4 linked regions of the Notamacropus eugenii genome follow. The protein of the gene in region 2 interacts with the protein of the main gene of each other region in a pairwise test. Links are inferred from orthologs where the notes say so. Each region holds a gene or a part of one and is shown on either strand. Other genes may lie near its edges. The genes, in order: C1H1orf35, SDCBP2, PRPF38A and TNP1.

What was found.
Region 1: the proteins of SDCBP2 (region 2) and C1H1orf35 interact in binary tests that used the Homo sapiens proteins (3 or more experiments, as listed by UniProt). The two-hybrid records come from large-scale screens. The link is inferred for Notamacropus eugenii from reciprocal best matches to the Homo sapiens genes SDCBP2 and C1orf35.
Region 3: the proteins of SDCBP2 (region 2) and PRPF38A interact in binary tests that used the Homo sapiens proteins (3 or more experiments, as listed by UniProt). The two-hybrid records come from large-scale screens. The link is inferred for Notamacropus eugenii from reciprocal best matches to the Homo sapiens genes SDCBP2 and PRPF38A.
Region 4: the proteins of SDCBP2 (region 2) and TNP1 interact in binary tests that used the Homo sapiens proteins (3 or more experiments, as listed by UniProt). The two-hybrid records come from large-scale screens. The link is inferred for Notamacropus eugenii from reciprocal best matches to the Homo sapiens genes SDCBP2 and TNP1.

Annotation. Positions count from the first base shown.
Region 1 is NC_092872.1:9,916,935-9,924,222, reverse strand, and holds the start of C1H1orf35 (multiple myeloma tumor-associated protein 2), read right to left. Parts: upstream 3,024-7,288; 5' UTR 2,787-3,023; intron 1-2,786.
Region 2 is NC_092872.1:432,994,938-433,002,211, reverse strand, and holds the start of SDCBP2 (syntenin-2), read left to right. Parts: upstream 1-4,261; 5' UTR 4,262-4,348; intron 4,349-7,274.
Region 3 is NC_092873.1:512,530,492-512,538,352, reverse strand, and holds the start of PRPF38A (pre-mRNA-splicing factor 38A), read right to left. Parts: upstream 3,024-7,861; 5' UTR 2,691-3,023; coding exon 2,561-2,690; exon of another isoform or gene 2,227-2,560; intron 1,524-2,226; exon of another isoform or gene 1,396-1,523; intron 1-1,395. UniProt on the Homo sapiens protein: Involved in pre-mRNA splicing as a component of the spliceosome.
Region 4 is NC_092877.1:315,186,319-315,192,041, reverse strand, and holds TNP1 (spermatid nuclear transition protein 1), read left to right. Parts: upstream 1-4,181; 5' UTR 4,182-4,226; coding exon 4,227-4,365; intron 4,366-4,960; coding exon 4,961-4,989; 3' UTR 4,990-5,219; downstream 5,220-5,723. UniProt on the Homo sapiens protein: Plays a key role in the replacement of histones to protamine in the elongating spermatids of mammals.

The sequences.
Region 1 (7,288 bases), about 420 Mb from region 2:
ATCTCTCCTAGTTTAATGTAATCTGAACATCTGATGAGCATGCCATCTACACTTTCCTCCAAATAGATCACCGCTTTTCTGACAGGCAGCGGGCTCATCAACCAGGAAGAATTATTATCAACAACATCCTCATCATCTCACGTTTCTACTATGCTTTACCAACAAGAGCCCCGTGAGTTAGATACTGCAAGGATTTTTTAGCCTAATTTCACAGGAAGAAGCTGAGGCTCAGAGAGGGTAAGATGACATTAGAATGCAAGTTCTTGGCCATTAGGGATTGTTTCATTATTTGTTATGTGCATTCCCCAGGGCAGGGTACAAGTAAGTGCTTAATTGTTCCTGCTCATGAACAGAAGCTTACTCAAACCCATGCCTTGCTCCAGTATCTCCCAAGCTGCTCTTTATTCTTCTCACTGTACCTGACTGCTTCAGTTCATTCTATCTTCTCACAAACAAAAGAGAAAACAAGAAGACCATTTCCCATATCTTTCTCCTGACATCAACTCTTCCTTCTCGAGGATAAATGACCCAGAGAGAAACTATGGACAAAGTTTAGGGCCCATCTCTCTGTAGATGGCCAGCTCCCTAGCTCTACCACCCCTGTAGCTCTACCATCCCCTTCTAGGGAAGAGGAAGGAGAGATGACTAGAGACACTCTCTGTTCAGCCTTCCCATAAGGGAAGAATTCTGAACTTCTAAGAGACTGAGTATCCAAGCTAGAATTGGAGGAAAGAACAGCCAAAGGTTGGGAAAGCAGCCTGATGCCTGAAAGAGTCTGCGATAGACAGCAGGAGATCTGCTCTCTGGTCCTGACTCTTCCATGGACTCAATATCACCTTGGCCAATTAATTACCTTTCCCTCTTTGGACCAGTATCACCTGTAAAAGGAGCGGGATGAGTGAGGTGGTGTCAAAAATTCCTTCCAGCTCTAACATGCTATAATTCTACATTCTGAGATCCATTCTAATGTCCCATGACATTAGACCTCTGTCGTCTCAAAGAGCTCCTTGTCCAATATGGGAAACAAAGTCTTTGCTAACATGGAGCACCCTGTGTGAAGACTGAGGCACTATCCCAACTGACCAGTTCTTCAATGTCCTCCTCTGATCTGAAATGCTAACAGTCACAGACTGGGTAGTATCAGAGACAGAAAGTGCCTTCTGAGCAGAGGACATCTGAACTGAAAGAGACCTAAGAGATCACCTGGCCCAACGCATATTTTACAGATGAGGAAACCAAGACTGAGGGAGAAATCACTCGTAGGATCACAGATTTAGAGCTGGAAATGACCTCAGGTCATCAAGTCTAATCCTCCTCATTTCTACAGAGGAGGAAACAAGTCCCGAGAGATAAAATGACTTGTACAGGTCACACACGTGGTGAATGGAAGAGCTGGGATTGAAACCCAAGTTCCACGACATTTTCTAGGGTCTGGAAGGGCTTCACTGACTTGTCCGAGGTCACAGGGAATCCAGGAGCTAGTAATGGAAAGGAGGCTGAATGGGGAGGAGGGTGGCCTGGGCTTGCATCCGGGCTCTGCCCGGGTCCAGCTCTGCGACCTCAGCCAAATCCAATGTTTTTTCTCCCAAAAATAAAAACATAAATGAAAAAACCCTTTCACAAAGTGACTGAGGAAAGCATTTTGCAAGCCTCAGCCATAACTCCCATTCATACAGCCCTGTGAAGTTTTCAAAGCACACGACACACCAAGTCCAGTTAGTGCGGGCGGCGGTCACAGAGCAGGGAGCTGGCCCCGGGCGGTCGGGGAGGTCTGGGCCGTGGGCGAGCCGGTAAAACTGGGATAACCACAGCACCTGCTGGTGTCCTGCAGATCCAGAGGTCAGCAATCTTTAAAGCGTTATGTCCATTATTAGACATCCCCTCTGTCCCCGATTCAGCCAGTCTTGGGCCTTGGCAGCCCATGGGCGGCCCCCTCCCTTCACACCTCGGACGTCACCCCTCAGTTCTCTCGCTGCATGCCTCCTCGGCTCACTCCACTCCCCGTTCCCCACACGTGCCGCTGCAGATCCCGCCCCCCTCACTCCACCTATTAGGCCTCAGATGCACTCCCTCAAGCTCCGCCCCAGACTCCCCTCCTATAAAGCCCGAGGCATGCCTCCTCAAGACCCCCCCCATCTCCTAACAGAGCCCAGGCACGCCCAAGTCCCTCCCCTAGCTTTCTCTCCTATCAGAGCCCAGGCACGCTCCCTTAAGTCCCACCCCTAGCCTTCTCTCCTATCAGACTCCAAGGCACGCTATCTCAAACCCCACCCCTCTCCTATCAGGCTCTAGACGCGCTCTTGCAAGTCTCACTTCCACCTCTCAGGCCCCAAACGCACTCCCGCAAACCCCGCCCTCACCCTCCTCTCCTATCAGGTTCCAGGCACGCTCCCTCAAGTCCCGCCCCCACCCTTCTCCTATCAGGATGCAGGCATGCTTCTTCAAGTCCCGCCCCTATCCACTCTCCTATCAGGCTCCAGGTACGCTCCTTCAAGTCCCGCCCCCAGCCCTCTCTCCTATCAGGCTCCAGGTACGCTCCCTCAAATCTTACCCCTTTCCTATCAGGCTCTAGACGTGCTTTTGCAAGCCCTGCTCCCGCCTTTCAGGCCCCAGGCGCATTCCCGCAAGCCCCGCCCCCACACTACACTCCTATCAGGCCCCAGGCGCGCTCCCGCAAGCCCCACCCTGCCCCCAACCCCCTCCTCTCGGGCCCCCCAGGAGGGCTCCTGCAGGCTCCGCCCCTAACCCCCCTCAGGCCATGGCACCCCCCCCCCCCACACACACACCTCGAGTTCGTCCCTTCAGCTCTTCAGGACCAGGGACCCCAGCGTGGCCCGTGGCCCGTCCGGCTCCAGACCCTCTTGGACCGCAGGCTCCTCGACCCAGGCCCAGCTTGGCTCACCAAGTTTCGCAGTCTGCCGGGAGGCTCTTCCGCCGCGGCACAATAAGGGGGGGGGGGGAACAGGCCACAGCGGAGCGGGCACAGGAGAACGCCCGCCGTTACAGCCCCAGCCGGAGTGGGCGGAGCCGCGGCCGGAAGGCCCGCCTTCCCCCGCCCCTCTCTTTCCTCGATCCTCTTTCCCGCGGGGGCGGGGATGGAGAAGGAGTTGGCAAGGTCCTGCGGTTCCGTCGGTCACCGCCGGGAGGCGCTGCGGGGCCGGGCCTCGCAGCCTACAGAGGGCGCTTTCACGCCTCGCCGCCTCGGCTCCGCGCCACGTTCACGGGCAGTCCGAGCAGGCCTGCCTCCTTCCCGTTCTTCAGAGGGGGAACTGAGGCGGAGGCCCTTGAGCGCCGCCTTCCCGGGGACCGCCCAGGCGGGGGGCGGGGACCGCCCAGGCCAAGGGGGGGGCGGGGGGCGGGGACCGCCCAGGCCAAGGGGGGGGCGGGGGGCGGGGACCGCCCAGGCCAAGGGGGGGGCGGGGGGCGGGGACCGCCCAGGCCGGGGGGCGGGGACCGCCCAGGCTGGGGGGGGCGGGGGGCCGGGGACCGCCCAGGCGGGGGGCGGGGACCGCCCAGGCTGGGGGGGGGGGCCGGGGGGCGGGGACCCGCTCAGGCTGGGGGGGGGCGGGGGGCCGGGGACCGCCCAGGCTGGGGGGGGCGGGGAGCGGGGGGCCGGGGGCCGGGGACCGCCCAGGCCGGGGCGGGGGGGGGGTAGAGGGCGGGGGGCGGGGACCGCCCAGGCTGGGGGGGCCGGGGGGCGGGGACCCGCTCAGGCTGGGGGGGGCGGGGGGCGGGGGGCCGGGGACCGCCCAGGCTGGGGGGCCGAGGGGCGGGGACCCGCTCAGGCCGGGGGGCGGGGGGCCGGGGACCGCCCAGGCTGGGGGGGCCGGGGGGCGGGGACCCGCTCAGGCGGGGGGGCCGAGGGGCGGGGACCAGCCCGGCCTCGTCCTCCAGCCCGACTCCTGGAGGAGCGCCGCTCACACCTGCTTCATATGGCAGCCTCTCTTTGCGCCCTGGCTTCCCCCCTCCTCGGTGCCAAGGCCGGGGCACCTCCTCCGTCCGCGGCGGGTCTCCTCCCAGGGGCTCCACGGCCCCTCGAGGCACTGTGTGGGGCTGGGGATGCGGCGCCTTCGTGCACACGAGGACTCCTGGAGCTAACCTGGAAGGGCACTAGGGAATGAGGCACAGCCAGGGCAAAGACCTGGAGATGGGAGAAACAGGAAGATCAGTTTGGCTGGAAAGGTAAGCTGGGGTCTGGGGGTGAAGGCCTTCGCAGTGTCGGATCCCACGGGCAGTAGGGAGCTGTGGGGAGGACTCCGCGCAAGGAGGTGGCGAGGGCCTCGAGGCCACCTGTGGACCTCCAGGTCCTCGAGTGCTGCCCTGCCATTGGAGCCACCTTCATAGAACAAATCCTTCTGTAAAACTTGGACTCGGTCAAAGGGCTGCACCCGAGGACCTAGAACACGTGGCCTCGAGGCCACCCCTGGGGAGAGGCTTGAGGCAAAGGCCAGTTGGAAGGCTGTGTTTGAGATCTGATTAGATATGGGGGGTTGCCAACCTGGGTGACTGGCAGAATGACGGTGCCCTGCACAGAAGTGGCGGGGGATGGAGGGTATAGGATAACGTGGTCCAACTGGAGACTCCTGAGGAGGAGCCGGCGGTGCAGCTGGGCAAAGGTCCAAGGGCTGGAGACATGGTTCATGTGTTTAACCTGTGGGCACTAAGGGTATCTAAGGGTATCACAGGGAGAGCATGTAAAGAGTGAAGACTCAGGACAGAATTCTGGCAGGCCAGGGGCACAGGGGAGAATCAGGAAGATGGAAGAGGGGGGACAGTATTCAGGAGGAAAGGGTGGTCTGTAGTGATAAATGCTAAAGGGGTGAAACAAGTGAGATATGAGGGAAAAGCACTAGATTTGTCGATTACAAGATGATCAGTCACTTTGGGAAGGGCAGTTATGGTTCCCATACAAAGAAACTGGGCTGGACAAGGCTAAGGATCCCCTCACTGGTTCCCTTGAATGTGGTCCTTTTGTCACAAATTTAGAATCTGAGGCCACAGAGCCACCTGTTCTCTGCTTTTTGTTTCATTTTTTTAATTAATTATTTTCAGTTTTCAACACTCACTCCTTAAGATTTTGAGTTCCAAATTTTCTCCTCCCTCCTCCCCCTATCCCAAGATGGTGCGCAGTCTGATACAGGCTCCCCATATACATTCCTATTAAACATATTTTCACATTGATCATGTTGTAAAGAAGGACTAGAACCAATAATTGGGAACCACGTGAAAGAAGAAACAAAAAGAGAGTGCACAGCCTGCTTCGATCTGCATTCAGACTCCACAGTTCTTTCTCGGATGTGGTGGCATTTTCCATCAGGAGTCTTGGATCCCTGCACTGTTGAGAAGAGCCAAGTCTGTCAACAGTGGTCATCGAACAACACTGCTGTTCCTGTGCCCAGCGTTCTCCTGGGTCAGTTTGCTTCACTCTGCATCAGTTCATGCAAGTCCAGGTTTTCCTGAAATCCGCCTGTTCATCATTTCTTATGGAACAATAATATTCTATTACGTTCAGATACCACAGCTTGTTCAGACATTCCCCAATTGATGGGCATCCCCTCAATTTCCAATTTTTGCCACCACAAAAAGAGCTGCTATAAATATTTTTGTACACGTGACTCCTTTTCCCATTTTTGTAATCTCTTTGGAACAGAGATCTAGAAATGGTATTGTGGGTCAAAGGGTATGCATTTTTGTGTCCCTTTGGGCACAGTTCCAAACTGCTCTCCAGAATGGTTGGATCAGCTCACAGTTCCACCAACAATGCATTAGTGTTCCGATTTTCCCTCATCTTCTCTAACATTTATCACCTTCCTGTTTTGTCACGTTAGCCAATCTGATAGGTGTAGTGTGGTACCTCAGAGATGTTTTGATTTGCATCTCTCCAGTCAATAGTGATTTACAGCATTTTTTCATGACTATAGAGAGCTTTAATTTCTTTCTCTGAAAACTTTGACCATTTATCAACGAGGGAATGACTTGTATTCTTATAAATTTGACTCAATTCTCTATATATTTTAGAAATGAGGCCTTTATCAAAGACATTGTAAACATTGTTTCCCATTTTCTGCTTCCCTTCTAATCTTGGTTGCATTGGCTTTGTGCACTTTTTGGTTCATTTGAAGCATGGGATTTCTGACATGGAAGGCAGTGTAGGCTAGTGCTAGATTTAGAAGTAGTTAACTTAGGTTTAAATCCCTGCTGCTGCTTACTCCCTTCTGGTCTGTGTGACACAGACTCTCTGGGACTTGGTTTCCTCATCTCCAGTGATGAGATTGGTCTAGATCAGGTTTTAAACACACTCTAGGAGGCACAACACTCCCAACAGAGCACTGTCTGAACGGGATCAAAATGTAATTGGGAAGATGTTTAATCAAATAAATAAAAATACAATAGAACACAGATAATGTTGGTGTGTGACTTTCTAAGTTAATGTAAAGATCTTCAGAGATCCTTATGTACAACTTCATGGCTCCCATTTCTACTTGAGTTGGAGACCATTAACATTCCTTCTAGCTCTCAATCAATGATCCAGTGATAAATCGATCAGAAAATGTTGACTGGAAAACAAGTACTCTTTGGCTGTGAGCGCATGCATGACCCGACAGGAAGCCCTTCACACCCCTCCAGGTCAGTCAGTGTGGCCTCCATGGGTGTTGCCAGTCCCAGAACAAGCCATGCTCGTTCTTGTTTGCTTCTGTGCTGCTCCTCCCTGTGATCTCTTCCCTCCCCTTTTTAAAAAATCATTGACAATCTTTATTTTTGAATGAATGAATGCAAAAACATTTATTAAGTACTTGCTATGTGCAAACACGGTGCTAAAAGCTGGAGATAGAAATACAAAAAGGAGCTTATTTCTAATGGGAGAGCCAATACGCATAAGAGGGTATGGTGGCTAAGGATGGAATTTTGATCTGGAAGGTAGAAGAGATGATGAGTGGAGAGAAAGGGGGGTCATTGACACACTTTCTAATAGGAATGGTAGTACTGATTATGATTCCAGAGCTGGAAGGAGGGAGTGAGGGAGGCAGGGTGGGTTGCTACAGTGTAAAGTGAAACAAGGAGGGATATAATGAAGCATTCACCGGTCAGAACAGTGGGGCCACAGGACAAGAGTATGGTTTCTGGCCCAGTTTGGAGGCTGGCAGGGCTGATGGCAAGATGGCCAGGGTGTTCTCAACTTTCCCCACTGATTGAATCCATCCCTGAAGTCAGTCATTAAACACTTATTAAGTACCTATTATGTGCCAAGCAGTAGGGGTACAGAAAGAGGCAAAAGACAGTCTTTGTT
Region 2 (7,274 bases):
TTTGTCTTGACAGTTCTTGCCATTCACAACATTGTAGTTGTCTTGTATATTGCTTTTCTGGCTGTCTTTACTTTGCATTGGTTAATGTCAGTCTAGGCTTCTTCGTATTCATCACATGCATCATTTCTTTATATGTACAATAGCATTCCATTCCGTTCATGAGCCACCATTTGGCTCAGGAATGCATGTTCTAATGATGAGCTTCTACTTTGTTTCCAGTTATTTGCTTCCGCAAAAGGTGATGTTATAAATATTTTGGTGCACCTAAGTCTTTCATGTTGTTATTGACCTCCACGTATATGCCTAGCAGTAGAATCTCTTGGTCAAAGAGTTTGGGCATTTTAGCCACTTTATTTACCTAATTCCAAATTGCTTTGCAAGTTGGTTGCCCCATTTCACAGTTCAACCAACAATGCTTTAGTGTGTCTGTGTTTCCACAATCTCTGCAATATTGACTATTCCCCTTGTTCTGTCAATTCAGTTGTGATCTCATTTGGGATTTTCTTGGCAAAGATACTGGTGCGGTTTGTCATTTCCTTCTCCAGCTCATTTTACAGATGAGGAAACTGAGGCAAACAGGGTTAAGTAACTTACCCAGGGTCACACAACTAGTAAGTGTCTGAGGCTGGATTTGAACTCAGGAAGATGAGTCTTCTTAACTCCAGGTCCAGCACTCTGTGCACTATGGCGCCACCTAGCTGCCCTATTCTCTTTTGTCAACTTCTTGGGCATAAGGTAGAGCTGTCTGAATTTCTCTTACCATTAGTGATTTGGAACATTCTTTCATATGTTAACTATCCCATTTTGAGAAGCCAAATGACTTGCCCAAGATGACACAGTGAGTTAGCAGCGGCATTAGAATTAACTCCTAGGTTTCTTGACTCCTCCTTAGATGTTCTTTCCATTATACCACGCTGCCCTGGGGATGAATTTGGCTGAAACTGGGTCATTATCAGTAGGTACTATGTGATCAGATATAGCTCAATTGTTTCTTTTAGAGATGAGTTTAGACTCAGTCATTTGGGAGTTTGCTCTGGTTGGAGGTTGAGTGGGATGCAAGGGACCGTGGGACATCAGATCTCCCTGGTTCTACTTCTGGCTTTGACTCTGACTCACTCCAGATTTTTAGGTTAAGTCCCAATAAAATCCCTGTGACTAAGCACAGAGGGTGTGAACATACTACCTGCACACTGATCATGGAACAGTGTAGGTAAAGGCTTTCTTGAGGAAGTGGCATTTAAACTGGGCCTTGAATGATGCATAGGACATCAACAATCAATCAGTCAATTAACAACAGAGTTGAAAAGAAAAGGTACATTCCAGAAATAGGGCATATTTGGGGTATGGCAAGAAACAGAATTTGTTGAGAGTATAGAATGTCTGAGGGGGAACATTGGGGCATATGGACTCAAAATAAAAATTAGATATATAATATATGTAAAAAAATATAACCATGTATTATATAAAAACATATAAATAACGTAATATACTTACATAATTATAAATATAACATAAATATAAAATTAATAATATAAATATTATGTAACATATAAATATAATGTGCAAAGTATATATTAGACACGTAAATATACATATATACATGTACATACATAAAAATACATACACATATACATAAAAATATAAAATCAGATTGAATGGCAGGCTAAGGCATTTTACTTGGCAGGCAACGAGTAGCCAATGAAATGTTCATTGAAGGCTCATGCTTTATCTTGTCTACTCTCAGGTTCTCTCCTACCCCTCCAGTGTAAGTGACTATGCCGTGCCTCCCTCAGTTACTCCAGACCTTGGGGATTTCTCTCCTCTGAGTTCCTACAGCCCTGACTGCCTGTGTCCCTCATTATTTACTGGAGCAGAGACTGCCTTGAATTATTATAACCTGTTTCAATGGAAAAGTCCTGGTCTAGCAAGGGGACACTTGGTTTCTAGGTCTACCTCTGTCACTAACTCACTCTAGGTAAGTCACTTCCCCCTCTCTGTCCATTTTCTCCTCCAAAAAACGAGGCGGTTGGACTAAGGCTTTATGACTCCACAGAGTATGTCATATTTCCTTACTAAGACTATAAGTTCTCTTCAACTTGAGTTTAGATAGGAGCAGGAATATATTTCCTCTTTCTCTTGTGTTCCCTATAAGACCCAATATAGGACTTTACACACATTTGGTACCCAATAAAGATTTACCATTACTTGACTGGGCAGTATAAAGCCAGGTTCAAGCCAAAAATCAATAACTGGCATCAGTCATATTCACCTGCTCACGGTCACATCCCCACAGTCATCACAAAGCAGAGATCAAAAATTTGGATAACTAGTCCTAACATCTTGTGTCTGCCTTGATCTTCTCACTGACACAACCAGACTCACTCAACAAACATTTATTTAGCACTTCGACTCAGAATACTGTGCCAGGAAATCGGGAGGTACAAAATTTAGATGAGATGAGACAAAGTCCTTCCTCTCACGGATTTTATCTGGGACATGATACATAGGACAGTGGGGATTGCATTGACCTGAGATAACTGAGGATAGAGGGCTTATTTATTAGATTAATTGAATGTTAGAACCAGAAGGAAATAGAAGCCCAGAGGAGGGAAGTTGCTTTGGCCAAATACATACAGAAAGTTTATAGTACAGTCAGAACCAGAAACCTGGTCTCCTGGCTCCCATCTCAGTGTCTTCTACTGCATTGCACTCTGCGTGTTCAAATAATAAAGATAGTTGTCTTAATTTTCCACTTTTGCTTATCAGAGGAGACCTCAACTAAGGGATAAGGCCAGGATTCTATGATATACAATTTAGAAATGAATCATTAATTAAACAGTAAGCATTTTTTATAATACCCACTGCTGCCAGGCACTGTGGTAACCCTGGAGATGAAATAATAAAAATGAGACAGTCCCTACCTTCTAAGACCTTTTATTCCATCAGGGAGATTATCTATCTATCTCTACACACATACACATACATATATAATATACACATGCTAAAACACATATACAATATTATACATTCCCATATATGTCTATATAAACATGTATGTATATAAGCCTATATATGCATGCACACACATATATGTGTGTGTGTATATATATATATTATACACAAGAGATGTATGTGTGTCTTTACAGCTCATAAATACAACATAATTTGTGGAGGAAGCAAAGACACTAACAGTCAAGCAGATCATGAAAGGCCTCACATAAGCTTTGAAGGAAGCTCGGTATTCTCAGAAGCAGAGGTGAGGAAATGAAGAGCCTAGAACAGCAGAGTTAAAGGGGCCTTTAGAACCTAAGCTACAGAGCATCAAAGTTGGGAAGAACCTTAAAGACCTTCTTCTAGTCCAATTTCTTCATTATGAAGGGGGTTCAACCTAGCTTATGTATGGCTTATATTTTTCTGTAATTATTTTGTGTCTAAGTTGTCAACTCCTCAACAAGAAGACAGGATGCTCATTAAGACAAGCTTCTCCTTCCCATGTCTGTCCCACAGTGTTAGGCCCCCAAGGAGGACTTTATCAAATACTTGTTGAATTAAAATTACTGATGTCCACACTCAATAGGACCTTCATGGTTCCTGAGGTATAAATTTCATCACCACAATGGTCACTTAGTTTTTGAATTGGCCAATGTCCTATGTGACAGGTAGCTCAGCTATTCATATCTAACATGGGCTTGTCCCTTCCTTACGTCAGCCAGCTAGTGATCCATCAATGGGTGTGCCCAGGTCCTTGAACTTTGACATTTCCAATGAAGTCCTATACCATGCTCTGAGTGAGTAAGACAGAAGTCAACATCATGAAGAGGAAAAGAGGGACATTTTACTGACCAAATTCCAGTTTGATCCATTCTAAATTCTGAGCTCTTGGAAAAGATGAGATCTCAAAACAAAATACAGAATACATACTGAGAGCTGGAAAGAACCTTAAAGATCTTTTATTCTATTTTATGATTTTACAGAGAAGGAAACTGATAAACAGAAGCTATGTCTTGCCCTAGACTACACAACTCAAAGCAATCCCATCTCCCCTTTGCCTATCCTGTACTCCAAGATTAGATCTAATCTCATTACACCCCTGAGAGTTAAAATTGGAACATCATTCAGAAAGTGATTTGACAACTAGCCTTTACCTGTGGCATCCAAGGGCCCCTCCCCAGAGCAAGTCATAAATCAGCTGTGGGTAGAGCCAGGCCAGCCCCTCCCAACTGAGGGCAAGCATCCAGGAGGAACTTCAGCTGGAAAAATAAAGCGTAGAGACTTCCTGAGAGGAGGACAGACCTTCCTGGGAACAGGAGAGCAGAGGAGTAGACTAGTGCCAGCCTCGAGTCTTCAGGTAAGCACCCTTAGGAAAACTCTGGTCATTTAAAGACCCACCAACAGCAAGTTGCTTAACTTTGACTGAAAGGGTGATTTGATGGCTGAAGAACCTTCCCTTTTTTTTCCTCCTCTTGGTCTCCTTTTCTTTTCTCCCTCCTCCTCTTTTTTTCCTCTTATCTGACTTCTTTCCTTTTTCTCTTCCCCTCTTTTGTCTCTCCTTCCCTTTCTCCCTTCTCCCATTCTCGTTCTTTCCTTTCTTAGTTTTCCCCTGATCTCCCTCTCCTTTCTCCCTCCCCTCTTTTTCTCCAGTTCTCCCTCTCCATCCTCCTTTTTTCTCCTCTCCCTCCTCCTCCTTCCTCTTTTCACTCAGCTTCCCCTTCTTTTCTCCTTTTTATATCTCCTGCTCTCCTTCCTCTATCTCTCCTTTTACTCATGCCCTTCCCCATTCCTCTTGCTGTCTCCCCATTTCCTTCTGCTCTCCCTCCCCCTTTTCCTATCTCCCCATTCCTCTTGCTCTCTTTCCTCCGCCCATTTCCTCTCCCTCCCCTGCCCCTTTCTTTTTGCTCTCTTTGCTGCCTCTCTCTCCCCTCCCCCTCTCTGGCATTATTTGATCAGGTCTCCTTAGGGTGCCCACAGCGCACCCCCTTCTCCCCGCGAAGGACAGAGCTGCGCTGTGGTCCTCTCTGCGAATTCTCCTCTGACCCATTGGTTCTTTTTCTTTTTTGTCTCTCCGCCTCCCACCATCCAGTACACTCAATCCTGCCTCAGTGCTCCCCTCCTGGGGGTGAGGATTCCGGAGGTAATGTAGTAAAGGGGCTCTGAATGGCAGCTAGCCAGCCTCCAGCGCCAGGATGAAATGTGAATCCTGGGGATTAAACATTAATAACGTGGTGAGAGTGGGCACTGATACCGTCTGTTTCTTCGCTGTGTTCTGCTTCCCTGGCTCCAGAACAGGGTACTTTGCCTTGAAGGCGTCGGGGCCAGGGGCCCCAGTGGAAGCAAAGGGCTGGCTGGAGCCAAGACCTCTTTCCATTAGCCCCAAATGGCCCGCGCTTCTCTGCCGGCACTCCGATGTCCTCTAATGGGTTTTCCTCTCTGCTAGAGCTGCTTGGAATCCACTGCCTCCACCCCCTCACCTCTCCAAAGGCCCAGAGCAGCCTGTTTCCTGTGGCTCCCCCTTGCCTGTGACGTTTCTCCCCGCTGTGTGAGAAGGCTCTATTTCATTTGAAAAAAAGAAAAGGATTCCCCGAAAGTCAAAGCTGGAGGCTCATGTAGCCCAGTCCCCCCCATTTTGCAGATGACAGCACTGAGGTTCAGAAAAAGGAAGGTCATCCAGAATCAGTGACATAATGAGGACCAGAAGCCAGGGTTCCTGACTCTGGCCAGGGATCTTTCCCCACCCTCATACAATCTGGAGCTATGGGCTTTTTTTTGATAATGGAATTTTTTTTGTTAACATTTTAATCAAGATGACGATAAACAAACCCTGGTGAGCTTTTTTTCCCTTTTTTTTTTTTCAAATCTCATTTCATTTTGAGAAACCAGTTGTTTCCTACCTAGGAATACCTCTGCCTCCGTCTCATTCTGTGTCTCTATTGTGCTACCCTCTACCCATATCTCTCTGTCTCTGTCTTTTTCCCATTCATGTGGTTTCAGGGATGATGATGAATACACACATGACCTTGTCACAACTTCTCCTATAACTCTCCATTTAATTAGGCTTCTTCTGACATCCCCATCCCCCTTCCATAGCCAACACCTTAGCCAGTAAAAATGACCAGAGTAGGAGATGAAGGACAGCAAGGTGGCTCTGTGGATAGAGCACTGGACCTGGAGTCAAGAAGAGCTGAATTCAATTTTGGCCTTAGACATTTACTAGCTTTGTGACGGGGGGCAACTCACTTAACTCTATTTACCTCAGTTTTCTCATCTGTAAAATGAGCTAGAGATGGAAATGGAAAACCACTTTGCCAAAAAAAACCCAAATGGGGTCACAGAGAGTCAGACATGACTGAAACAAAAACAATCTAGACTGAGTCAACAGGGAGATGAAGTTTCCGGTTAGAAGAATAACAAGGAAGCCAGTGTTGCTGGATCTCAGAGTATGTGGGAAGGTAAGGTGTAAGGTATAAGTCTTCTGGAAAGGTTGGGGGAGAGGAGACTAGTTGTGAAAGGCTTTGAACACCAAACAGAATTTTACAGTTGATCTTGGAGATGATAGGGAGCCATTGAAGGATATCGCGTAACAGGGTGACCTGGTAATCTGGTTAGACCTGCAGTTTGGGAAGATCTCTTTGACAGCTGAGTAGGGAGAGACTTGTGGAAGGGAAATCAGCCATAAGCCTTCTTCAATAATCCGGGTGTGTGGTGAGGAGGGCCAGCACCAGGCTGGGGGCAGTGTCAGAGGAAAGAAGGGGGCATTGAGAGAGAACTGTTGCCATGGCAACAGATTGGATATGGAGTTGGGGGGATAGGAAATGAGAGAGAAAGAGAGTTCAAAGAGAAGTGAATTAGAGGGCCCAATCTGCAAGTAGCTTTTATATCTGAGGGATTTGGGAATTCTAGATTCCAAGGATATTAGAATCTCTGCTATGAATTTTACTATGAGCAAGGTCCTTCCTGTTTCAGACTTTTGAATAGATGATCTGAGGGCCTTCCAGCTTCGAATTCAGGAGTACATTGTGGAGACTCTTTAAAGGAATTTTTTTTCAGTCATACCAACATTTCCTCCAAGCTCCAACCTTCCTGAATGCTCCCACCTCTCCCAGCCCCTGAATGGTATTCAAAGCAGCTACTGTGTGCTAAATTCCTTGGTTTTACTTAACCTCAAAGGACCCAGTAGCTCGGTATCTCTGGGAAATGCCTTTCATTAGCAGGTGCTTATAGAGGGTGTGGTAGAAAGAGCTCTGGACTGGCAGTCAGGAGTCACTAATTTGCTGGCT
Region 3 (7,861 bases), on a different chromosome or scaffold from region 2:
AGTTCTCTAATTACTCTATCCCTCCAACCTCTTACCATCTGTGTCCTTTCTACATACCCCAAGGTCAGGCTTTAGTGCCCTTTCTGGCTACTATCTAAAGCCCTTCAGTGGCTACCAAGTGCTTGGAGAAATGATAATGATAACAATGATAATTATAACAGCTAGTATTTACAGAGCACTGTGCTAAGTGCTATACAAATAAACTCTCCTATTCATTATCACCATTTTATAGTTAAAGAAACTAAGGCAGAAAGAGGTGAAGTGATTTGCCCAAAGTCACACAGCTAGGACCTGCATGAGGAAGGATTTCAGCCCAGGTCCTCTCCTGACTCCAGGCTCAGCATGCTCCTGAACTACAGATTCCACTAGTACTAAAGGCCTTCTGCTTCTAGCCCCAATCTACCTTTTTCAGCCGGACTTCACACTCTACCACCCCGCCCCACTACACTACTACCTGTTCTCTGCAGCCTGAAGCTGCTATGCTTTGAACCCTGACTCACTGGGGGAAACCTCTCCTGGCCTCAGTTTCTCCCACTGTAAAACAAAAAGGTCAAGCTAGATGCTTTCTGAGTCCCCTTCCAACTCTGACATTTTGGGATAACAGCTTGAAAAATTGTTCTGCTCAGGGGCATTGGCATGGGGGTCAGGAGTCAGAAGAGTGCTGCTAAAAACATGACACTCCTGGTATCTGGGCAGCGGCAGTGGGGTTGGTTTAGGCCGTGAGACACAGCAGTCAAAGGGACCTGGAGTTAGGAAGACCAGGGTTCTTCATTTATTAACTGAGAGATGACAGACAAGTGACAATCTCTCATCTCAATTTCCTCATCTATAAAATGGGGATAATCCTACCTCCAGCAGCTGCCTCCCAGGAGATGCTATGTAATACATTTAGCAAACTTTAAAATACCATTAAGTGGCAGTTATGATTACTATATTGTGAAGGGGCCCTTGTGACCTTTCCGATCACATCGGCGGACAATGTTATTATCACCATCTCTGCATATGGCCCTGCCCTAAAGGCCTGACCAGGCCCCAAGAAATGTTTTCTCCCTTCAACATACAAACACTTCCGGGCAAGTCATTCAAAATAAGATAATGTTACAGCTGGGGGAAGAACCTTAGAATATAAGATGTTAAACTTGGGAAGGATTTCAGTTCAGGGAAGAACTGGGAAGTACCAATGCAAACACACACTTACTCTGCCTTCTGAATCTGAAAGAGCTGCCTTGGCATTCATTCAAGAAGCAGTGACTGATTTCAAGCCATGTGCCAGGCACAAGGTACTAGGGAAGCAGAGGCAAAAATGAAGTAGTCCCTCATCTCTCTTTAAACACAATATGCCAGGCATGTAAAACAAAACTGAAACGTGCAGCTCTCAAAGAAAGGATTTCTTACCAAGGAAGGCAACATGTATCCATAGAAGCAAAAACTAAATACAAGGTAACTGTTGGAGAGAAGACGCTGGCAGCCGAGGAGGGAGGATCCAGAAACGGCTTTGTGTAGGAGGTGGCAGCTGAGCTGAGCTTTGAAAGAAAAGATGGATTCTGAGAGGTCAAAAACAGCAAGACCAGTCTGGCTGACCCACGGCATTTAAATGCCAGAATGTGTCTTTGGCCTTAGAAAAAGCAGGGACCCCCTGAAATGTACTGCGCAGGCGCAGCCCCACCTGTTTCAGCCAAATCCCTTCCCGGGTCTTGGGCAGCCTTCCAAGCCGCAACAAGGCTTTGTCAGTTTCGTTCAATGTTGCACCTTTGTAGCGACCTCACCCAGAGCTCTGCTCCCCGGGCCAGGGTCAAGGACAGCGACCAAAGGAGGATCAAGAGGCAACGCTCTGGGCAGAAGGGGCTGAGTGCCCTCTGCTCCGGGGACCCCACCAACACAACAACCTTGCTGACTTCCCTGCACACCCACTGCTCACCCCACTCTAAGTCCTCGAGGACGGGGGCGGCTCGGACTTCCTAGGCCTAGCATTAAGCACAGCGCTTAACAAATAAAAGCTTAATAGACGTTCGCTCGGCCACATCACCCACGGACAGGCAGCTCCGAGTCTGTCCTCCCCCACCCCGTTCTTGGCCGTGCCCGGCCGGGGCCAGGCACCAGGGACCCCGACGTTCTCCACTATGGTCCAAGCTAGCTCACCCTGGACGTGAACAGGAGCCGGCCGGGAGCAGAGGAGAATCTGGGGTGGGAGAGCCCGGGTTCAATCCTGCCTCGAACGCTTCCTACCTGCGTGCGGCTTTCCAAATATGAAAGAGGGGGCAGGAAGACACGGTCACTTAGTGAGTATCTACTCCGTGCTGCAGGTATGCTGGTGAGGAAGGTAAAAAGGCCTCCCGAAGCCCCTCTCTCAATCAGGCAAACATTTCCGACGCCTTCCCTAGTTCGGCTCGAGAGAAAGGGACTCAGAAACGCAAGGGACCGTTACAGTCCAAAAGTCAGGGTAGGCTACGAGCTCCAAGGGTTCTGTCTGAACTCCTCCCCGGCCGGGGAGCTCACATCCTCCCTGGGCGGCTCGAGACGCGCCGGGGAGATGTCCGGAGCCCCAGCCGCAGCCGCTCACCTGTGAGTCCAAAACACTCCTCCTTCCAGTACTTGGACTCGTAGATTCGGGTCCGGATGATCTTCTCCACCAGGTACTGCGGGTTGGTGCCGTGGATGCTGTGAGCATCCTTCACCGTCCGATTCGCCATCTTGGGAAGCCCTTGGCGCCGCCTCTGCAGCCCTTCCGGCGGGCACTTTCTGCGTCACTTCCGCACGAGCCAAGCCGGGGGAAGCGGGGGGGGGGGGGGGGGAAGCGGGGGCGAAAGCGTCTCGGCGCGGCCGATGACGTCACCGAGGCGGCCACTTTGAAACCGGGCACGCGCCGCGACCGCGACGCCTCTACCTTCCCAAACGCGGCTTCGTAATAATGACGTAACTAGAAACAAGAGCGGAGGGGGGAGACGTAGGGGGCGGAGCGCCTGGACGGCGAACGACCTTTTGAATCTGGGAGGGGTGGAAGAGGGAGGGGGAGAGGCGGAGACAAAAGTCCCGATCCGTACGCAGGAGGGAGGAGAAAGGGGGCGGGCCTTGCGTGACGCGAGGGGCGGGGCCACTCTTTTTTGGCGCGAATTTTTTTTTATTTCAAGCTTCTCTCGGGTGCTGGCGGTGGCCAGGAGGCGAGCAGCGCGCACGCGGAGCGGCGGAGGAAGCCGGAGGGTGAGCCTGGGGGGCCGGGGCCTCCGGGGTGGGGGGGAGCTGGGGGCGAGGCCCCCTCCTTTACACGCGGGGAAACTGAGGCTTGGGCGGCGGGCCGGGCTCGGAAGCGGGGGAGGGGGCTGGCCGAACTGGGGCGGGAAGGGGCCTCCCGTACTGCCCTGCCCCCTCCGGAGCCCGGAGCCCCCCACTCTATGGCGAGGAGCGATCTGCCCCACCCCCACCGCCTTCCTGGGGGCCTCAGGGGCCCGGGTGGGGGAGGGGCTGGTCCTTATCGCAGACCGCAGCTGCCCCGGGAGGCCCGTCTGGGGCCCGCCCTCGGGGTCACCTGAGCCTCCGCATCTGTCTGAGGGGGACGTGGCCCTGGGTCCTCCTCACCGCCCCCTCCCCCAGGGAATTAGGGGCGCCCCGAGCCTTCTCCCGAGCCACTGCCCTTCGCCCTGCGAAGTACCCTCCACTTCCCGGCCTGTGGTCTTGGTTGGATTTAGCGGGCATCCGCTGAGTGCCTGGCCTCGTGGAGATCCTGCCCGGTGGGGGGGTCGGGGTTAAAGGAGGGTTCCTGCCATTTCAGCCTGCTTCAGGCTGATCTTGCCAAGTCTGCGAGACCTTCCTCCCTCCCGTCCCCCTGCTGGGGATGCAGCTACTGTTTCTCCCCCATTTCATTTGAAACCCAGTTAGGGAGCCCTGAGCGCAGAAAGCCAAGGAACTTAGGGGCTTGTGGAAAAGAGCAGGCCCATCGTGGCCAGCAGGAAGCCCAGCCCTCGCTTTGCTGAAAGGATGGATGCCTTGGGGCACTAGATGGGGAAGAGATCTCTGCCAGGCCCTGGGACAGCTTCCTTCTGGCTAAACCTCTAAAAAGTCCAGGCTCCAGTATGGTAGGACAGCTTCTGGCCCAGTGCGGGAGCCTGGGCAAGTGGCTCAAACTTGCTGGCATCCAGGGTGGGGAGAAATGCCCCCTCAAGAGTTCCCCATGCTAGTCCAGGACATGCTCTCCACCCGAATCCTGCTTACTTCTGCACTCCCCACTCAGGACCAAAAGCCATGAGGAACAACTATTTCACAAGGCTCAAGGCCAAACGAAGTTATTCATGGCTCAACTGTGAATTCCGTGACAGGAAACTTCGTCACAATCTCTACAGGTAAGTGATTCAACTCAGCAGGTTCCCAGGCCATGGGTCTGCTTATTGGCACCCAGCCCCCTGAGGTGGGGCTTTCCTGCCATCATGATATTCTGGAGCCATTTAACAGTATTTAGGGTGTGGTCTCTGTGGGGCCTAGGCTTTTCACTGGCTGAGAAGAGTCCCAGCTTTTAGGAAGCGCCTCCTGTGTGCCAGGCACTGTGCTGAGCACTGGGGATACAAGGAAAGACCAAAGACAGTCCGTGCCCTCTAGGGGCTCAGTCTAATAGGGGACACAACCTGCCAACAGTGTGCAGATAGTGTATAGACAGATTGCATGGCGAGGGGGGTTCATCTCAGGAAGGACGCTAAGATGAGGCTCTTCCCAGGTCCTTTTTCTAAAGATGAGACTTAAGCTGAGATATGAAGAAGGCCAGGAGGAGGAAAGTTCTCTTTTTAAAAAACAAATTTGTATCTGTTTGGAGCGTATTTTTGGGGGGTGAGTGTGCACCATCCTTGCTGTTTGTTGTTCACCTCTCCAGACAGCAAGAGAGGCTGGGCCCTATTCCTGGTATGCCAGGAGAGGAGGGTCTTAGAGGCCAGCCTCTGTGATCTGGGGCCCCCCAGTCCACCTCTGCTCCTCTCCTCATCACCCTGGGCACACTTCCCTGGGAATCCTTTTCTGTTCTGGAGATTTGTTGAGTGGGAGGTAGATCTGTGAGGCTTGACTAGTGAGCTCCCTTATCTGGCCTGAGGGTCTTGGTGACTTGATTTCCCTGTACTCTGGGCCACTTGATCCCTGCATTTGCTTTGCAGAAGTATTTGTGTGACATCTCCAAGCAGCAATGTCAAAGTCCAGATCAATGTAGGGGACTTCATACTTGTGGAGTGCAATGATGATGATAACCCATATATCGCTAAGCTGATCAAGCTCTCCAGGGATGGTGAGTTCCCCTGGGAAATGCAGGGCAGGGGCAGGGCTCTGTCCCTAACACCAGGATATTGTAGCTGGGAGGGGCCAAGCCCACCAACTCCCCCGCAAGAGGAAGGCTTATAAACTAGGGGATAATGACTCCTGAGACTTGGTCTCTCGGTCCTTGAAAAGGGAGAGAAAAGACCACCAGGAGCTGGGGCTTAGAGTCAAGAAAAGGGGATGGGTTGGAAAGCAAAGAGCAAATAGAGAGGTTACCAGCTATATACATCTAGTATATTACAGGATGTACATAGGATTGTATTTGAAATGAAAGGCTTAGGCTAAGTAATTTATGAAGTCTTCTCCAGCTCTCATTGTTGTTGGTCAGTCGTGTCTGATGCTCTCATGACCGCATTTGGGATTTTCTTGACAAAGATAGTGGTTTGCCATTTCATTCTCCAGTTCATTTTACGGATGAGGAAACTGAGGCAAATGGGTGAAGTGACTTGCCCAGGGTTGCACAACTAGTGAGTATCTGAGGTTGGATCTGAATTCATGCAGATGGGTCTTCCCGACTCTAAGCCCAGCGCTGTCCATTGAGCCACCAAACTGCCCTTTTTCCAGCTCTAATAGTCTGTAGTCCAATAAGTTGACTGAAATGGTTTGATTGATTATAAGACTGCTGATCATTGAAAAGGGAGGACTGTAAAAAGGGAAAACAAGTCATTTACTTTTAATCAGCTGACTCAGTAGTCCAAAGTGGGCTAGATGGAGTCAGGAAGTCCTGACTTCAGATCTGGCCTCTGACAGTAACTCTGGGACCTGTTTCCTCATCTGTGTAATGGGGAGAAGAAATTGCTGTATGTGTCTAGACCGAGGAGAAAAGTTGAGGGCTGGATGAGTAAACTCAAGCAGTTATAGTCCTAGAAAAGAGGGAGGAGAGGAGGGGATAAGGCCAGCTGTGTCCCTCTTACCTTGTGGGGACATTCTCTGGGAGGACCTAGAATAAGGCAGGTAAGAGACAGAAAGCTAATGAAGGGAGCTGTTAAATAGCCATCAACCTGCAGGCGGTAAATGGCAGCACCAGGATGGGAAAGGGGCCTTTGGACATGAGTGGCTTTGGCAAAGGTCCCTTCCTGGAGGTGGAGGTGGTCCAGGAGAAAGTCAGGGGTAAGGAGCAGCCCCTGTGGGGGGACTACCAGGAGGACACAGGAGTAGAGGCGTGAAGGGAGAACAGGGGATGCTGAGAGTCAATCCAAGGGAAGCTTGGTCCCCAAGAAGAAGAATGGCTGAGGAGGGAAATGATTTTAAATGGAACAGTGTAGGCAGAATCCCCTAGGGGACCTGGAACGTCTTAGAGAATGGCCATGGCATTGGGAGGGGTGCCCACAAAACAGCCGCGTGAGATTTGTGAGAGCCTGACAGTAGTGAGCAGCTAGCAGCAGCAGGGTAAGTGCATCCCTTTGTTCTGGCTGAGGTGAGCCTTTTATGTCCTGACAGTGTTTGGTGGCTCTTGTTTTCTTTGAGGACTGGTCTCAATTGTTTCTGATCTTGGACTTCGGGTCATTTGCATGGCTTATTTAGACACCTATATGCCTGTGGTTGTACTAAACATCCTGTGGTGGTCACCCTGCCCAGACAGGCAGACTGGTGAAACTAGTGACCCTCTCTCAGAATCACCTTCTTAAGTGCCTAAAATATAGTTATTAAAATGTTTTTGAAAAACAAGGGCCCCAAGCTAAGACCCTTTGGTAGATGGCAGCTCTCTCCCATCTGACTTTTGAGGAAGTGAAGGTTTGGAGAGGTTTTGTGACTTCTACAGCAACCCACAAGGAATGATTGACTGAGCTGGGGCTCACCCCAAGGTTTTCTGACTCTTGAAGTGCTAGGTTATCAGAAGGAAGAATAGTTCCCCAAGGAGCCGTTGGCTCTGCCAGACATCACAAAGGGTGCCTGTGTTTCTCTTCTCTTCCTGCTCAGTCTCTTCATTAGAGTCTGAGGCTAACTCGCATGCTGTGGTCCAGTGGTTCATTCGCTTGAGTGAGATCTCCGTCAGCAAGCGCAAGCTGCTTGGCCGAGAGGCTGCCGAACAGGAGATCTTCTGGTACGATGACCCGCCGAAGGACATTCAGGTTGAGACCATCCTCGGTCCAGTTCAGGTGAGTAGTTCTCTAAGTTTTCCTCTCTGCCTCCCTTGTGTCCTGGAGAAGCTTGACCAGTGTTGTTGTGTTGCTCCCATCATCACTTGGGCCTCCTGGGAAATGTGAAAGATGGCGGAGTCATTGGACGTTACCGTGTGAGTTTGGCTTTGCCAAGTCACAGTGTGTGAGGTGGAGGGCAGTGTTAGTTTACAGATATGCACCTTGTGCTGTCCTAAGCTACCAGGCCTCAGGTGGGCTGAGCTGACCTGACCCTTGCTGCTCCTGGTATCCCAGCTAGTCGAAGGGAAGAAACCAGAAGAAAGGCTGGAGATCATTCAACCAGCCACTTGTGGTAGAGAGGATAGGGCTCTGTGAAAGGAGGGATGGGAGGGAGCCCTCACCCAACTGGGGCCAAGGATGCCTTTGTGAAGCTGCGAGACAAGTGGGGTCCTCAGTGGTTCTTCACGTGTCCTTTCAGGTCATGGGCTCCATCC
Region 4 (5,723 bases), on a different chromosome or scaffold from region 2:
ATTCAGAGTTGGCTATGCTCCCTAGACAGATACCTCCAGGCCCTCTTAGGATCATATGTGGCCTCTCCAAACCATACCTAACTTATCACTGGCTTTCTCTATACTGTGGTACAGTTAGTTGAAGAAAGGAACAGGTCTGATCATTGGGCATTTGATCCTTCCTAGCCCCATGAGTCCAGACATTTTGTCCAACCTAAACACCCCTATTGACCGCACCCTTTGTTTCTGACTCACACACACACCCCCATTGGGCTTTCTGTCTACTCAAGTTTCTTGTTTTAGGGTTGAGGAGGGGTTATGCTCCCAGACTATGCAAAGGGGACTTTTCTTTTTCTTTGTTTTTTTTTTTTCCCAACAAGTTTCCTAGGCCTGGCTTTTTTCCCCCAGATGATCTCAGCTTCTCCTTGGCAAGATCAATCCATTGGGGGTAGGAGGGGTCATCATGGGGAAAGAAATATCATCCTGCCTCTGTAGCCATCAGAGAAAATGAATGCCTTTTAATCCTTCAAAATGAATTCCTTTGAGGATTTTTAGGAAGCAAAGCCTTTGGGAAGAGGAAAGTTTATTACTCCAAGTTAGGCTGGCCTTCTCCATTTAGAAAGAATGTCACCTAACCCCCAATATATGTAAAATTACTCCTCCCACCCCAACTCTTCATTCTCAATTTTAACTTGAAGAAGAGGGTGTGACAAAATCTATGACCAGGAATGCTTAGTCAAAAGGCTAATCAATTCTGATGACAGTCAAAGCTTTTCCCTTTTCCAATCCTGTTTCCAACTATGGCTGCACAAAGACAGAACAGGGGGTGGAAAAGGGAAAATGAAAGTTCTTTGTCATGTTTTCACATCCCCTATATGTATTATTAATCTGGGGGAACCAAACATTAATTCTCTGACAAAATATGAATGGTTCCATCCATGTCATAAAGATAGAACCCTGGTCTTGAGGAGAGCCGTGTTTTGTGAGCAAAACAATAGAGGAAAATGTGACATGTTTCTAAATAGCTTGAGAGAAACATGAATATTGAATACAAAAATCTCTCTGCCTTAACACATCTATGGAGGGAACAATCAATGGATTTTTTTCTCCTGAGAACCAGCTAATTTGGTTAACACAGTGCTAAGTACTGTGAGGGTGCCAGGGTGGAAAAATACAAATCATCAATTCTTCCCTTTAAGAAGTTGTATTCAAGACTGATGGCAAACACCAGTCTACAATACCTTCTTGAATCATCACCAAGAGAAGGGTCCTGGAGCAACATGGAGATTCTTGGAGAGTCTAGTTTTCAAGTTTGGAAAACAATTTATTGGGAGATGTTTTAGGAATAAGCTGAGAATGCCTAGTTATAGATGGGACTAGATGACCTCTGACTTCATTTCTAAGGATTAACCTTTCTTAAGCTTGAAGGACTCCTGGGGATGTGGGTGAGTTTTCTGGGTTTGTTTATTTAGAAATTGTCTGCTGTGTTATTAGTATGAGGAACTCTTAATGAGGAAATTACCTCCTCCAAAGCAATTGATATCTTCTCTCCCAGTACTGTATGGTCTTGGAAAGCTGTCTGAGAGCCCTGAAGGATACCTGTCTTTCCTAGAATAATGCAGCTTAGATCTATTTGATTCTCAGACCAGTTCTTTGGCCACTGTATTTTACCATCGTCTGCTTTCCAGTTATAAAATAGCAAAGAAGAAGAAAAATGATAGGAGGTGAGGAATGAGGAGTCAACATTTTTAAATCAAGATTTCCTTATCTAACCTTCAAGGCTTTTTATATCTGCTGGATCAATCTTATTTTATCATCATCATCATCTTCATCAATTTCCAACAGTTCTCCCTTTTGCACCTGTCATCCTCCTCACTTAATGTTATTATTCTTTCATTCAAAAGCCTTCATCTGATTCCAACTACCTATTAAATAAAATCCTGGCATCAAAGGTCCTCTATAATCTGTTTCCAATCTACCTTTCTGGTTTAACTTCACATAATCTACCCATAATCCAGTCCAACCGGACTACTCAAGTTCAAGAGCCACCTTGAACATATTCTTTCCCTGATTAATCCAGTCTAAGTTGATCTCTCTCATCTCTGAACTTGTAATACTAACTAAAATGGGTTTACATATATCTTTAAGATATGAACTCCCTTATCTAGCACTTGGTTTACTTATTCAGTATTAGCTACTATTATGTGCATGACACCCCTCTAGCCCTGGAGTACTGGAAATTTCTTTGTATTAAAAACAGTGATGTTTCCTGCTCTCAAAAAGTATTTACATTCTACAATGGAATGGAATAGGGTGGGAATTACTACATAAAATATAGAAAAATAGGTATCTATATAATATATAGATATATAATATAATATATATGATAGATATATCTATGTCTGTATGTACATATGTGTGTATGTACATGTATATATATGTACATATATAGTGTGTACATACACATAAATATATGCATGTGTGTATATACATACATATACATGTGTGTATGTAAACATAAATATACACACATGCACACATATATATGTATATGTAGGGTTGATGGAAGCAAAAAAAAAAATCCACGAATCTCTTTAGGAAAATTTGAAGGAATAGGAACTTTAATTTTATTCTGAAAACAACCAATAAGTTTATCAATCATCAACAAGTTACGCGCTGAGGACACCCTAGGTACTCTGGCACTTTGGGGGACACAGAAGAAATACATCACCTCTGGGAAGGAATAAAAGACATAGGCAAGAGCCCCAAATATTAGCATTGGCGCTGCCATTAGTATGTTCTTTATGACCTTGGTTGAGTTCCTTCACTTCGGTAGGTCTCAGCTTCCTCCTTTGTGAAATGAGAACATTATATTTCACAATCTCTGGGATCCCTTCAAACCCTGACACTTTGTGGTTCTGTGAGATGAGAACAGCCTCCATGAAACATATAGTGAAGCAGGGACCTTCTAAAAATCAAATGTAGGACTATTATCTTTGAAGGAATGGAGAGGGCCATTGATTGTTTATATCTAAATCTACGAAAGCAGTGTTTGAGAAGATCGACTTCTGTCACATCTAAAGGAAAGAGTTTGAAGGCAATATAATCAGTTCAGGACCTGGTTCTCCACCAGGACTGAGAAGAAAAGTTTTCAAAATCAGAAGAGTTTGAGAGTAATAATACAGACTGAGTATTATCCTTGAGGCAGTGGAGAACCATTGAGATTTATGCTGCAGTCAGTGAGCAGATGAAAGCAATATTTTAGATTAATCTGGCAGAAATATACAGGTCATATTAGAGAGAAGGCACACCTGGATGAACCAGGTTAACAAAGGCAGCCAGGAAGGAGCATTCTTGGCGTGATGGGAGACCATGAATCTGAACTAGGTGGGTGATAACTAGGTAGGAATTAGCTAGAGAAGGAAATGGCAAACCACTCCAGCATCTTTGCCAAAAAGACACCCAAATGGGGTCAAGAAGAGTCAGACATGACTGAAACAATTAAACAATGTAGGAATTAGGAAAAATAAGAAACTCTACTAAAGGAAACAGTTCAAAGACAATAATCAACAGGGAAGAGAGAGTTGATAAGAAGGAAGAGCTGTTCATTTTAGGACCTAAGTTAAAAATGAGAGGAAACATTAAAGTGGAAATTCTTTGTAAGGAAGTAGAGATCTTTTTTTTCATGTGTGTATGACCTGATCTTTTAAGATGAACTTTTTTTAATTTATAGTTTTCATCACTGTATTACAAAATAATTGATTTCCTTTGTAATTCTATGCATTTTTGCTTTACCTCATTAAAAACATTATTTAGATAGAAGGTTCATAGACTTCACTAGACTGCCAAAGATGTCATGATATGCAAAAAATGAAGAACCCTTTTTTTCAGGGATATAGGAAGGTCTTTCTAGCCTCTTTCTGGACCACATTCTACATGTATATCCCCCAATCAAAATATAAATAATTTCTCTTATGTCTCCTGGGAAATTAGGGACCTGCCAAATAATAAATAGTTGATTTGAGTTTATCTCTTATATGGAAATGACTTCCTCATTTGGAGAGGTCCTGAGTCATGATAATGAAAAAAAGCCCCACTCTTTTTCCCATATAAGGTCCAAAGCCCATAAAGGTAGGGTCTCACAATGGGGCCACACCCTCTTCCACCTCATAATGGCCAAAGGGTTAAATAGACCAGCCCCTGGCCTTTGGGCTTTTCAAAGCCCCCGGACTCTGGCAGCTAGCAACATGTCTACCAACAGGAGAATGAAAAGCCGAGGCGGGAGGAGAAACAAGAGCAGATCTCCTCACAAGGGGGTCAAAAGAGCTGGAGCTAAAAGGAAATACCGGAAGGCTGGGCTGAAGAGCAGAAAGAGAAGTGAGGAAGGTGAGTATGGGGGTGAGGAGGAAGAGGAGTTTCCTAGAACCCCCCAGAAAGGGACTTCAAAGGCCACATCTCTAAAGTCCACCCCTTAACCAATGCAGAAAAATCCCTTCTAATACACTTGGAGGCAGGGTGGTGTTAGTAGGAAGAGCCCCCCTGGACCCCTTGGGGGGGGGGGTCATGAGAACACCTCCCCATGAGTCCTGTCTCTGCCATTTACCAAGATGTGTGTGATCATGGAAAGGTAAGTTCTTACTTGTGTGCCTCAGTTTCCTCATCTGTAAATTGAAGGTATTCATAACTCTTGTAAAGGGGTTCTTGTGAGGGAAAAACGCTTTGTAAAATAAAGAGTTAACCTTATATAAAAGCTCCAGACAAGACTTTTGAGTTGTCATCAACTTGAATTTTTTCAGGTTTCAGATCTTTTAAATTCTCTCATGGTCCACCTGAATCTGACTTTGAGAGCTTTATAAATGTCTGTCCCACAAAAAAAAAAAAAATGTCCACAGTTGACATGACCAATAGTTGGAAGGTTATAATTAGGATGCAGCAGGTTTCAGGAACAAAAACCCACCCCTATCTCTGTCCTTCCTCACAGCTCACAGGACTTACCGTTCCAACTTGTGATTCCACCAAGAGCTCAGAGCTGCTGGACTTCTTAGCAACATCAGTCCGCAGTGAAAAAGAACAGGGGGTCTGCCAGGGCAACCAGAGGTGGTTCGATCAGAGAAGGAAAAAAAAGGAAACATATTGAATTTGGGAAAAATCCAGGCTTGAGGAAGTGAGGAAATGGATAAGAAGGCATTTTTCCCCCAACATCTCAATAAAATTTAGAAACCTGGTGTAAAAAAAAAAAAGTCATGACAATTTTTCGTTGCTCTGATGAACCTCTCTACGGGCTGGGGGGGAGGGATGGGGTTAATGTTTTATAGCCTTTTCAAAGTTTCCCAGTCCAAGCCCAGCCACCCCTAGGCATTATTGAAAGGAGGCAGTCAGGTAGTAACAGTAACATTAAGAGAAAAGGAATATTATAAAAATTCCAGTAGTAACAGGATGAAGCCACACTCCTAAAAAGTCTCCCTGCTCTTCAGATCAAGATCTCACATGTTGTGCTCCCAAGGCACAAGAAAAAAGTTTGAGAAAAGTGATAGATAGCTTTTTGCCATTGAACATACATGCAAAACACACAAATTTTACACGTGACCCCCACAGTTTAGTTTTCAAATACAACTTCATTCCTTTATAATGCTCGTGTAAATTTCCAAGGAGAAACGTCTTCCATCCTGAGAAGCCACAAGTCAACAAAACTTATATTCTCCCCTGTTTGTTGTGTTATAAATACTTGCTCAGGAGAGACTCTT